Linked DNA regions of Saccharomyces cerevisiae S288C. The main gene of each other region encodes a partner of the protein of the gene in region 2 in a complex. Each region holds a gene or a part of one and is shown on either strand. Other genes may lie near its edges. A codon is read from its position in the direction of its gene.

Region 1 (4,327 bases), on a different chromosome or scaffold from region 2:
ATTAATAGATTTTAATACATTTTCTATATCATTGGAGAAGTGTTCTTTTTCATAAGATGTCAAAGAATGTGACAGAGTATTCAGCTCACTTCGAAGACTTATGGTCTTCTTCTGCAAGGTCTTATAGTCACTCGTCTCTGAGAGTTCTCGTTCGAGCTCTACACAAAAAAATAGTATACGAAAATATGCAATGTTAATTAGTTGGACGCATAATGAAAGCAGATGAGTTTCAACATACCCTTTATCTTCGCAGTAAAGTCCATTTATGCTTAAGCTATTTCAGTTATATTCTTAAGTATATTTCACGATTTCAGATTCTTCGCGTTTTGTATGACACACTAGACGCGTCGGAATAGTGAAAACTCTAAAAAAATACATTGTAATGTTTTACCCAGTTATTTCCATGCAGATGCCCTATTTACATACTTATTTATTCATTCGAATACCTATACGTTATATTATGTTTTGTTTATAACCTATTCAAGGCCATGATGTTCTACCTAATCTACCTCTTCCATTTCGGTGTCAGCTGGAACCTCTTCAACCGGAGCTGCGGTGGATGCTTCTGGAGCAGTCTCTGTTTCTTCATCCTCATCAATGTTCAAACCCAAAGAGATCAATCTGTTAATTCTTGATGCAAAGGAAGTTGGTTCGTCCAAACTGAAGCCGGAAGTCAACAAAGCAGTTTCATATAATAACTTAGTCAAGTCCTTGACAGTCTTGTCTTGAGCACCACCTTCGTCAACTCTCTTTTTCAATTCCTTGATAATTGGAGATTTTGGAGAAATTTCGAAAGTCTTCTTGGAAGACATGTAGGAGGACATGGAAGAGTCTCTCAAGGCTTGAGCCTTCATGATTCTTTCCATGTTAGCAGACCAACCAAATTGACCAGTTCTGATAGCAGCTGGGGCATCCAACAATTTGTAAGAAACAACAACTTTCTCCACTTGGTCACCCAAAATTTCTTTCAAGGCCTTGGTCAATGGTTCATATTCTTTGATCTCCTTCTCTCTTTCAGCTTTTTCTTCGTCAGTTTCTTCCAATTCGAAATCTTTAGTAATGTCAACCAAAGTTTTACCTTCGAATTCCTTCAATTGAGTGAAGGCGTATTCATCAATTGGGTCGGTCAAGAACAAAACCTCGAAGTTTTTAGCCTTCAAGGCATCCAAAAATGGAGACTTTTCGACAGCCTTTAGAGATTCACCAGTGATGTAGTAGATGTTCTTTTGGTGTTCTGGCATTCTGGTAACGTAATCAGTTAAGGAAGTCAACTCATCTACGGACTTGGTAGAGTTGTAACGTAACAACTTAGCCAAAGCAGCCCTGTTTTGGGTATCTTCATGTACACCCAACTTGATATTTTTGGAGAAAGCCGAGTAGAACTTTTCAAATTGTTCAGAGTCTTCAGCAATTTCGTTGAAGGCTTCAATCAACTTTTTGACAATGTTCTTTCTAATAACCTTCATGATCTTATTTTGTTGTAACATTTCTCTGGACAAATTCAATGGTAAATCCTCAGAGTCAACAACACCCTTGACGAAAGATAACCACTCTGGAATCAAGTCTTCAGCTTCATCAGTGATGAAAACACGACGAACGTACAACTTGATATTATTCTTCTTCTTTTTACTCTCAAACAAGTCGAATGGTGCTCTCTTTGGAATGAATAAGATAGCTCTAAATTCCAATTGACCTTCAACGGAGAAATGCTTAACGTACAATGGGTCTTCCCAGTCGTTTGAAATAGACTTATAGAAAGCATTGTATTCTTCTTGAGTGATATCAGATGGGTTTCTAGTCCACAAAGGCTTAGTCTTGTTTAGTTCTTCTATCTCTTGAACTTCTTCTTTAACTTTTTTCGTCTTTGGCTTCTTTTCCTCTTCTTCATCGACTTCTTCCAATTTTGGTTTCTTGTCGTCTTCATCCTTCTTTTCCTCATCCTTCTTTTCCTCGTCTTTCTTTTCTTCTTCTGGAATTGGAACTTCCTTTTCAACTTCCTTGGTGACGACTAATTGGATTGGGTAGGCCACGAACTCAGAATGTCTCTTGATAACTTCCTTTATTCTCTTTTCTTCCAAGTACTCCAATTGGTCATCTTTCAAGAATAACCTCAAGATGGTACCCCTACCAATTCTTTCATTAACTTCGTCTAGAGTAACAGTGAAAGAACCACCAGCGTTGGATTCCCAGATGTATTGTTCGTCGTCGTTGCTCTTTGAAATAACCTGAACTCTGTCGGCAACTAAGAATAAAGAGTAAAAACCAACACCGAATTGACCAATCATGGATACATCGGCACCAGCAGATAGAGCTTCCATGAAGGCTTTGGTACCAGACTTGGCAATGGTACCCAAGTTATTAATCAATTCAGCCTTGGTCATACCAATACCAGAATCTCTGATTTCCAAAACTTTTTGCTCTGGCTTTGGAGTGATTCTAATAAAGAGATCTGGTTCTGTTTCCAATTGCTTTGGATCAGACAAAGATTTGTATCTAATTTTATCCAACGCATCCGAGGCATTAGATATCAGTTCTCTCAAGAAAATTTCCTTGTTAGAATAGACGGTGTTGATGATCAAACTCATCAACTGAGTAATTTCAGCTTGAAATTCAAAAGTTTCACTAGCCATATCTTTGCGTGTTTGTTTGTGCTTTTGTTTATAGGACTCTATTTTCTATCAGGTATGATTTCTTGAACTCTAATACAGCGGGAAGAAATGAGGAGGTCACAGATGTTAAGAATTGAAGGGATAAGCTGCATATTTATATGTTTTAGGGGGTGGCGGAAGGACCTGGTTGGTATTAAGATGAGAATTAACCGCTCATAAAACCATGCGCGTGTTTTTCTTCCACGGCGTTCTAGAAAAAAAAGAAAAATTCAAAAAGTTCTGCGAAACTCGAAAGAACCAGAATTGTTCGAACAATATGTGACAAGCGTATGAGTTAATAATCCGATTAAGCTTTATTCCTGTTCTTTTTTACGTGTATGTAAAACTGGTTTATGGATTACTGTGTTGAGAGAGGGGGGGTGACACCCTCCGGAATGTGATATATCACACGCTTGCACGTTGGTTCATATCGTAACCACGAAGAATACAAATACGCACACGCAAGCTAAGTTATATTTTAAAATATTCTGTCATCAAGCTTCCAAATACTTCTAACCATCTCTTATTCTCCTCTTAGTAGCCATTCTTTGCCACGAGGAATAAAAAGTCCCGCGCCACTAATTACAGGAAAAGAAAAATAGGACAATTCCATTTGATGTCACCGTGGTAATATCACCATGAACGATGATATGAAATTTTCATAGAATAAGAAGGAAAAGTAATAAAAGAAAAAGAGAATCTGAGAAAAAATCGATGAGTTAATTATCATTTGTGTAAAACAAAAACGAATTGTAATACGATAGGCAAAATTGTTCGCGCTCTATCTCAAAGAAAGTAATTATTTCCAAATAGAAAAAAAAAATCTACATATACGCAGATATGGGCCTACACAGTGAACCGTTAGATCAAGAGGACCAAGACACCATAATACTCGATGCAAGAGCTGGCGATTTGGATTCTCTGAAAGATATATTTACAACTTTAGTCAGTCCCGAGTTACTTTCGACTTGTAAGGAAAGTGAATCTGATTCTACGGCTTTACATATGGCTGCTGCCAACGGTCATATAGAGACCGTTCGGTATATACTGGAGACGGTTTCTCGCGCAAATAGTGCCGAAGACTTGAAAGCTTTTGTTAATGAGGTGAACAAAACAGGCAACACGGCTTTACATTGGGCGTCGTTGAATGGCAAATTAGACGTGGTCAAGCTACTGTGTGATGAATATGAGGCAGACCCCTTTATTAGAAACAAATTCGGCCACGATGCTATCTTTGAGGCCGAGAACAGCGGGAAGGAAGAAGTGGAAACATACTTTTTGAAGAAGTATGATGTCGAACCTGAAGATGATGAAGAAGACACACAAACTGAGGGCAAGAATTCGGTCCAAATCACAAAGGGTACAGAAATTGAACAAGTCACCAAGGAAGCCACCGAGGCTTTAAGAGAAGAAACCGAGAAACTGAATATAAATAAAGACTAAAGTAAAGAGCTTGTTTTCTTCGTGGAATAAAAGCCGTAATATCCATTGAGCATGATATTTTATTTCTTGGTACCGGAGAAGATAAAAGGATGGAACCAGCAGAAATGCATTAATAAATACAAAAAATTTAGAAAAGAGTTACAGTAATAATGTATATTTCTCTCACAAACTAAGTAACCGCTTCAAAAGCGTATATTTTGAATGCATTGAACTTTCCATTTCATTACCCGCAGAGC
Region 2 (7,859 bases):
TCGGAAGCCTTCTCTTCTTCAAGAACTTTTCGGCGAGATTGCCAAATTTTATATTCCAGAGCTGCGCTTGTTTCTGGTGTGACGGTAGGAGTATATGTGCTCAATAACTGCTTTAAAATTAGCATATCTTCCTCATCTTTGATAGCATTCTGCAAATCCATAGAAGATAAAGTCTGACTATATTTCAAGTCATATTCCTCAGGTGGATATACAGGTTCGGGAATTTCGGTAGCAGTAGGTTTATACATCGAAGAAGCATCCAGTACGTCAGACGACCCATTTTGATCGGGTACTAACGGCTTAATACCATGAAGGTGATCAGATTCGGGGGTGGTTGGCTCAGACTCACTCTTGAATTTCTTATCTGGAGCTTCTTCTTCCTCTTCTTCAGAAGATGAAGATGTCATATTTTCGTCTTCTTCATCATGTTCTTTTGATACGCGAGTGATCCCTTCATCGTTCAATGGGGTAGTTTCTTTGGAATCGGTTTCTTCGTTCAGTAAATGTGCCATTGGTTTGATACCATTGGATAGCTTTTTCCTCTTTAAAGAAGTATGATCCAACGCGAGTGAATTATGCCTTTTTAAATTTCTTTTATTAGATTTTGCATAGCCACCATATAAACCAAACAAATCAAAATCTCTTTTGGCTTCTTCTTTACGTTTCAATTCATCTTCAGCAATTTTAGATGCAATCTGTTGTCTCTTCTCTTTCTCCTTTAGTTCTCTTTTAGCTAACAATTCAGGAAAATTTGCATGGTCCAAAGCATCAAATACCGTAGGACCAATCAATCTCTTCTTAATATCAACATGTAAAGTCTTTTCCAAATCTTTTAATATTTGTTTTGCTGTAGCTTCAATGAACTCCTCTTTGGACTCGTATTTTATAGGTACATTTGTAGAATTTGAAGATGAGCTAGATTTATTGAATCTAGTTCTGTTTTGGAACCTAGGGAGAATGAGATGAAACTTTATTAGAATAGGAATTCTTCTGCTCCGAGACATTATTGTTAAATTTCCTGACTCTGCATTCGAACATGTTTGCGCATGGGCAATGTCATTAAAAATAATATAGATACCAGTTGGATGATCAATAAATTTCGCACATCTGTATCCCCTTAACTTGTATTTAAAGTCCTCAACGCAGAACCTATGTTTGGCAACAAATATTTTGGAGACATGTAAAACAGGTCTGTTATTAACTACCCCCAAGAGATCATATGGAATTCTTTTTTCACTTCCGGACGAATGAGATAATGTGTCTACCTTAGGTTCCTTGGGCAAGGTAATATCTTTGCCCTGTAATTCCTTTGCTTTTTCGTTTTCTGCTTCTTTCTCTTTAGCCTTCTTCAGGTTCTCTTGTAACTTCTGTAGCTTTTTGACATTTATTTCAACAAATTTAGAAATGATATTATTCAAAATGGAATGCTTGTTTAAAATCACTTCGAACTTGAAGCCCATGATAAAGCAACCCGAAGATTCGTGCTTTCTAACGGCACTAAAGGCTGCTTTTGCTGCATCATTAATTTTTCCATCAGAACTGGCATACTTTATAAGATAAACATGCAAAGGTAAAGCGCTATTAGGATCATTAAATGCTTCAAAATGAGAAATTTCTCCATACTTTTTAAAATAGTTTTTTATTGATATGTCTTGGATATTGGTTGTTGTTGAATCTTGCGCTGGATAGACAACTATTTCACATGAAGGGGGAGGCCCTAAGGAGTACCTGTCATAAGATATGCGAGGCAATAGAATTAGTGAGTTCCTGCATTTTCTGTGGGTTGCCACTTTTCCGCTAGTCATGATACCGTTTTCATTACGTGGGTCGGATGCTTTTATCTCCGGATGTCTGTGTTTTATTTTGAACTTAAACTGTCCATCTTGTAACTCTTTGACTACGTAATAACCTGTTTCAGAAAATTCTTTATCTGTAGCCTTCCACGAAAGCATCTTATCCTTATTGAAGAACTCGCCTTTTATGGGATCAAAATAATGAAACTTAGACTTCAAATTATCTGTGTTGTATCTCAAAACTGAAGGTGGTCTTTGTTGCAAAAGCAGAGCAGATTCTGTGGGAAGAGATCCACTCGAAGACGCTAATGTATTGTGAACATTGCTATTTGAATACCGTGATTGAGACATGCCCCTCCGACTACTGATGTCAGATTTCTTATTTACATATGGGCCGCTTTGGCTGTTGTTAGTAGCATAGTACTGTCGCGTACTTGCATTGTTTGAACTATGTGGGCGATCGTCATTATAGCGTCGCCTTGTACCATCATTATGGTTATAACGTCGACGTTGATTATATTGACTAGAATATTGTTGGTGAGAATGGCCGTTTGAATACTGATAGTGACCAGAACGCGAATATTGAGGCTGTTCCTGGGGTTGTCTGTATGAACCAGAAGACGCGTGTGCTCTTCTATAGTAATTTGACATTCTCTAAACGCAGAGACCTCTTATAAAGATTCAACAAATAAGGAATGTTACCTATGCTAGTCGCAACTCTCTCGTAAGTTGAGGGTTGCTAACAGAAAAACGATGAGAAGAAACTTTTGAAAAATATTGTGTGAAAGCAGCACGAAACAGAGTATGAAAAAAGAATGCGGGCGTCCGTAAAGAGCTAGAATCGCAAGTGTCCAGAATATGCAAGGCTTTCGAATACACTCCTCACGCTTCTCTTCAGCAAAAATCAACTCTTTGTGATAAAACTGTGTATTTCTTTGTTCTTTGCCGTTGTTTACGTTAGTAAGAAATCGGCATTGAAAAAAAAAATCTCACACTAAAATTGCAGAAAAAAGTGTACAATATCAGTAAATAAAATTGGCCAAAACAATACCATTAAAACCAGTCATGTCCATGCAACAAGTCCAACATTGTGTCGCAGAAGTACTTCGACTAGATCCACAAGAAAAACCGGACTGGTCGAGCGGATATTTGAAGAAGTTGACTAATGCGACATCGATTTTATATAATACTTCACTGAACAAGGTAATGCTGAAACAAGATGAAGAGGTTGCTAGATGTCACATATGTGCATACATAGCGTCACAGAAAATGAATGAAAAACACATGCCTGACCTTTGCTATTATATAGACAGTATTCCCTTGGAGCCGAAAAAAGCCAAGCATTTAATGAACCTTTTCAGACAAAGTTTATCTAATTCTTCACCTATGAAACAATTTGCTTGGACACCGAGCCCCAAAAAGAACAAACGCAGTCCAGTAAAGAACGGTGGGAGGTTTACTTCTTCTGATCCGAAAGAGTTGAGGAATCAACTGTTTGGTACACCAACTAAAGTTAGGAAAAGCCAAAATAATGATTCGTTCGTAATACCAGAACTACCCCCCATGCAAACCAATGAATCGCCGTCTATTACTAGGAGAAAGTTAGCATTTGAAGAGGATGAGGATGAGGATGAAGAGGAACCAGGAAACGACGGTTTGTCTTTAAAAAGCCATAGTAATAAGAGCATTACTGGAACCAGAAATGTAGATTCTGATGAGTATGAAAACCATGAAAGTGACCCTACAAGTGAGGAAGAGCCATTAGGTGTGCAAGAAAGCAGAAGCGGGAGAACGAAACAAAATAAGGCAGTTGGAAAACCGCAATCAGAATTGAAGACGGCAAAAGCCCTGAGGAAAAGGGGCAGAATACCAAATTCTTTGTTAGTAAAGAAGTATTGCAAAATGACTACTGAAGAAATAATACGGCTTTGCAACGATTTTGAATTACCAAGAGAAGTAGCATATAAAATTGTGGATGAGTACAACATAAACGCGTCAAGATTGGTTTGCCCATGGCAATTAGTGTGTGGGTTAGTATTAAATTGTACATTCATTGTATTTAATGAAAGAAGACGCAAGGATCCAAGAATTGACCATTTTATAGTCAGTAAGATGTGCAGCTTGATGTTGACGTCAAAAGTGGATGATGTTATTGAATGTGTAAAATTAGTGAAGGAATTAATTATCGGTGAAAAATGGTTCAGAGATTTGCAAATTAGGTATGATGATTTTGATGGCATCAGATACGATGAAATTATATTTAGGAAACTGGGATCGATGTTACAAACCACCAATATTTTGGTCACAGACGACCAGTACAATATTTGGAAGAAAAGAATTGAAATGGATTTGGCATTAACAGAACCTTTATAACATATCCAGTATTAACTAAAAGTATATATTTGACCAATACCTGACATATCTTCTAAAGCATGCCTTTAGCCCTATAACGAGCTAATGTTAGCTCCATCTTTGCACTTATGATTGGATCAGCCCTCAAACGCTTTTGTATCTTTGCAGCTTCCGCGAAGGTAGTAGCTTGAAGTTTTTCATCCATAGTTCTTGCTAAAATTGCAGAATCTTCAAACAATTCTATGGCCTCGTCAATTTTTTCCATTTGTAATTTTAGTTGTGCTAACCCGATCTTCGCTTGTTCAGATCGTGGATCTAATTCACAGGCTTTTGTCAGCAGCTTAATGGCTGCGTTGAATTTCTCTTCATCCAACTGGGTTGGATCTTGAGAGGATTGTCTAGCTAATATAGTTGCTTTCCCAATCAAGGGTCCTATACCCACATGTATTTTTTCTTGCACTTCTTCCAACCTTTTAGCAATATCATATTGTTTAATTGCAGTATCAAAATCGCCCCTATCTGTCAAGATTTCAGCGAAAAAGGTGGGCACCTCAGGTAAGGTAGGAAACTTCAACTTTGTTTCATTGAAAAAAGCTTCAGATTCGGTAAATTTACCTTGCTTGTACAACAAACAGGCTAATTGAATGTAGGGATAAACATTTTCAGGGTTCAAGCTTTGGGCCTTTTGGAAATCTTCCTTGGCATTTTTATAATCTTGTAGAATAAAATACATCTGCCCACGGTGGTAATAGGTTGGCGGATACTCAGGGTTTAGATCAACAGCTTTTTGGAAAAATTTGAAAAATTCTTGAGAGTTTTCTTTATCGGCCAAGGTCAATGCCAAAAATATGTACGAATTTGGTGTTGGATGCAGGTTTATAGATTCTTGTAAAAGAACTTGGGCATCTAACAGGTTATTTTTTAAGAAATGGAAAATACCCGTGTAGCACAATGCCAAGGCAGCATTCTCTCTTAAAGGATCGTCCACTGTATTTGCAGAAAGTAGAGAGTGGTACATGTCAGTGGACTTTGTTAAAAGATCGTTTGCTACTAAGTAACCTTCATCTGTTGCAGAATATAGTCTTTGCAAAGCATCTGACAATAGAGCGTATGCAGTATCGTAGTTTGAACTGGTGTTCACACTAGAAACTTCTAAGTGAGAGTCAAAAATCCCAAAAAATGACGCCAGAGATGTGTTAGACGGCAAAACCTGCGAGCCTCTGCCTTCATCCTTCGATAGGTTTTCATTTAGTACTTTCATTGCTTGCTTATTTAAATTTCTTTCCAGCATAGGTTCAATGGAGGCTCCATCAAAGTCACCATTCAATGACAAAACAGATAGATCAAACATAGCATCAGTGAAGTTGCCCAGTGACTCGTTGGCAGATGCACGTCTCAGCAAGGCTTTAGAATGGTCAGGTTTTATCTCAAGTGCCTTTGTAGTGAACTCTATAACCTTCTCTAAGTCGCCCGTAGAAATGTAACAAGCAGATATGTTGGAATAGAACACTGGTTCATTCGGGTCCAGCTCAATGGCATACTGGTAGTATTTGATGGCCTCATTAAAATTCTTAGCAGTGAAGAAGTGGTTACCTCTGTTCTTCAGTTGCACGGCATACGCTTGTCTCTGGGAGGGTGATAGGCCTTTCAATTGGGCAATATCAGGCTCGCCATTGGGCAAGGAGGGATAGTCAAACCCTTCTCCCGATTTTGCCTTATTGTTCCTCTTGCGTTTATTCTTCTTCTTCTTCCTCTTATTACTTCCACTTACGACGCTGCCGTCGTCCTTTAAGTCCGCCTCGTCTTCATTTTGACCAGCAAAGGCCTCACTTTGACGTCGGTTGTCTTTTGTACCCTTCAATTGCTGCTGTTGCTGCTGCTTAATTTGCTGGTAGTAAACATAAGCACCCACAGCAGCAGTCCCCGCAGAGACCGTTGCTAGGATGGCCACTTTGTTCTTGGTGATAAACCTCAGGAGGGAGTTTTCGGCCATAAGAGCTTCTTATGTTCGGTATATACAAGTATGTAGAGATATATACAAAAAATTCTTTATTCGCACTTTGAAAATCCAATTTAGCTTGCTTATTTACATACCATTGCGAATTAGTTTTTCACATTGCACTAGAGTGTGCTGTGGCTGCCTGTCGGAACACTACGTCGCGTAGTGGCGATCTATATAGAAAACAGATCACAGCTGAACAAACAAGAAGAAAAGGCTGCCTCATTCCCACTGCTGTCTGTTTTTCCTCCTGGCTGTCAGCCATTGTTTCTTGCATTCGCGGTATGCGTCAAAATATTCTTGGCACTTGGATCGGTCGTAATCGTTGCGCTCGAGGCACTGAAAACTGAGCTTGGAGGACTCCTCACAAGGATCATAGTACTGACTGTCAGCCTTTAACGCGAATTTATACTTATTGACCGGGTTCTCCGGGTCGTCTGGGTAGTATTGAAATGACGACGGATCGTCGCTCTTTGGTACATAGTTGACTTTGGTTCTGTCCGTTACGGGTCCACTGGCCGCTGGTGGCGTGGAAGACGAAGATGGTTGTGAATTGTTGCTGCTTGTAGAGCCACTGTTGGTATTTGTGGTATCCCTATTATCGTTGGTCATGGTCATACCGTTGGAGATAGTGGAGAGACTACTAGTTTGCCGCCTGGTGGGGCTGGGCTTCTCCATTCTCTTTAAGCGCTCTCGTGAGAGAATATCACTGTTTACGGCCCACAAAGAGAATGAGAAAATTGATAAACCTTAGCATTGGGATCAGCAGGAGCCTTAGAATTCTGGGTGTGAACAGAAACACATTAGTGCATTAGTGTATAGGTTCGATATTATTCAAAGAGGAACTCGGTGTACGGCTCAACTGTAAACCGTACTTCTCGTTCTTTGTTCACTGCCCTGTTTCTGACTCTTGTGCCGTGAGCTTTTCTTCTTACAGTGTCGATTTCCTGTGCACATACGTTCTGTATAGTGGTTATTCCTGGATGTCTACTAATACTGTTCCCTCATCTCCCCCAAACCAGACGCCACCTGCTGCTTCTGGCATCGCTACCTCTCACGATCACACCAAGTTCAACAATCCCATCAGACTACCGATATCCATCTCTCTCACCATTAACGATACGCCTAACAATAACAGCAATAATAATAGCGTTAGCAATGGTTTAGGTATTTTGCCCTCGCGTACGGCTACTTCTTTAGTCGTTGCAAATAACGGTAGCGCAAACGGCAATGTTGGTGCTACTGCTGCTGCTGCTGCCACTGTGGAGACGAATACAGCCCCCGCGGTGAACACTACAAAGAGTATCCGCCATTTCATATATCCTCCAAACCAAGTCAATCAGACGGAGTTTTCACTTGATATACATCTCCCACCAAATACCTCGCTACCGGAACGGATAGACCAATCTACTTTGAAACGCAGAATGGACAAGCACGGGCTTTTCAGCATTAGGCTAACCCCGTTTATAGATACTTCATCCACGTCTGTGGCTAACCAGGGTCTTTTCTTTGACCCCATTATCAGGACTGCGGGCGCAGGCTCGCAAATTATCATCGGAAGATACACCGAAAGAGTAAGAGAGGCAATTTCCAAAATTCCAGATCAGTATCATCCCGTAGTGTTCAAATCAAAAGTGATATCCAGGACCCATGGGTGTTTCAAAGTTGATGACCAAGGAAACTGGTTTTTGAAAGATGTCAAGTCTTCCAGTGGG

What was found.
Region 1: the proteins of TOM71 (region 2) and HSP82 are in contact, whole or in part, in a crystal structure (PDB 3FP2), measured with the Saccharomyces cerevisiae proteins. Residues at the interface, in NP_011985.1 of Saccharomyces cerevisiae: Lys131 (codon at 5,748), Asn135 (codon at 5,736), Phe138 (codon at 5,727), Tyr150 (codon at 5,691), Val162 (codon at 5,655), Asn166 (codon at 5,643), Ala169 (codon at 5,634), His194 (codon at 5,559), Lys196 (codon at 5,553), Leu199 (codon at 5,544), Arg200 (codon at 5,541); in NP_015084.1 of Saccharomyces cerevisiae: Met705 (codon at 518), Glu706 (codon at 515), Glu707 (codon at 512), Val708 (codon at 509), Asp709 (codon at 506).

What each region holds. Positions count from the first base shown.
Region 1 is NC_001148.4:95,996-100,322, forward strand, and holds HSP82 (Hsp90 family chaperone HSP82), read right to left. Parts: upstream 2,631-4,327; coding exon 501-2,630; downstream 1-500. Other genes in the region: GTPase-activating protein CIN2, read right to left, coding at 1-158, 239-263; YAR1 (Yar1p), read left to right, coding at 3,489-4,091. UniProt on the Saccharomyces cerevisiae protein: Molecular chaperone that promotes the maturation, structural maintenance and proper regulation of specific target proteins involved in cell cycle control and signal transduction. Undergoes a functional cycle that is linked to its ATPase activity.
Region 2 is NC_001140.6:340,628-348,486, reverse strand, and holds TOM71 (protein channel TOM71), read right to left. Parts: upstream 6,139-7,859; coding exon 4,219-6,138; downstream 1-4,218. Other genes in the region: histone methyltransferase SET1, read right to left, coding at 1-2,444; ORC6 (origin recognition complex subunit 6), read left to right, coding at 2,859-4,166; COX23 (Cox23p), read right to left, coding at 6,367-6,822; ubiquitin-conjugating protein DMA1, read left to right, coding at 7,128-7,859.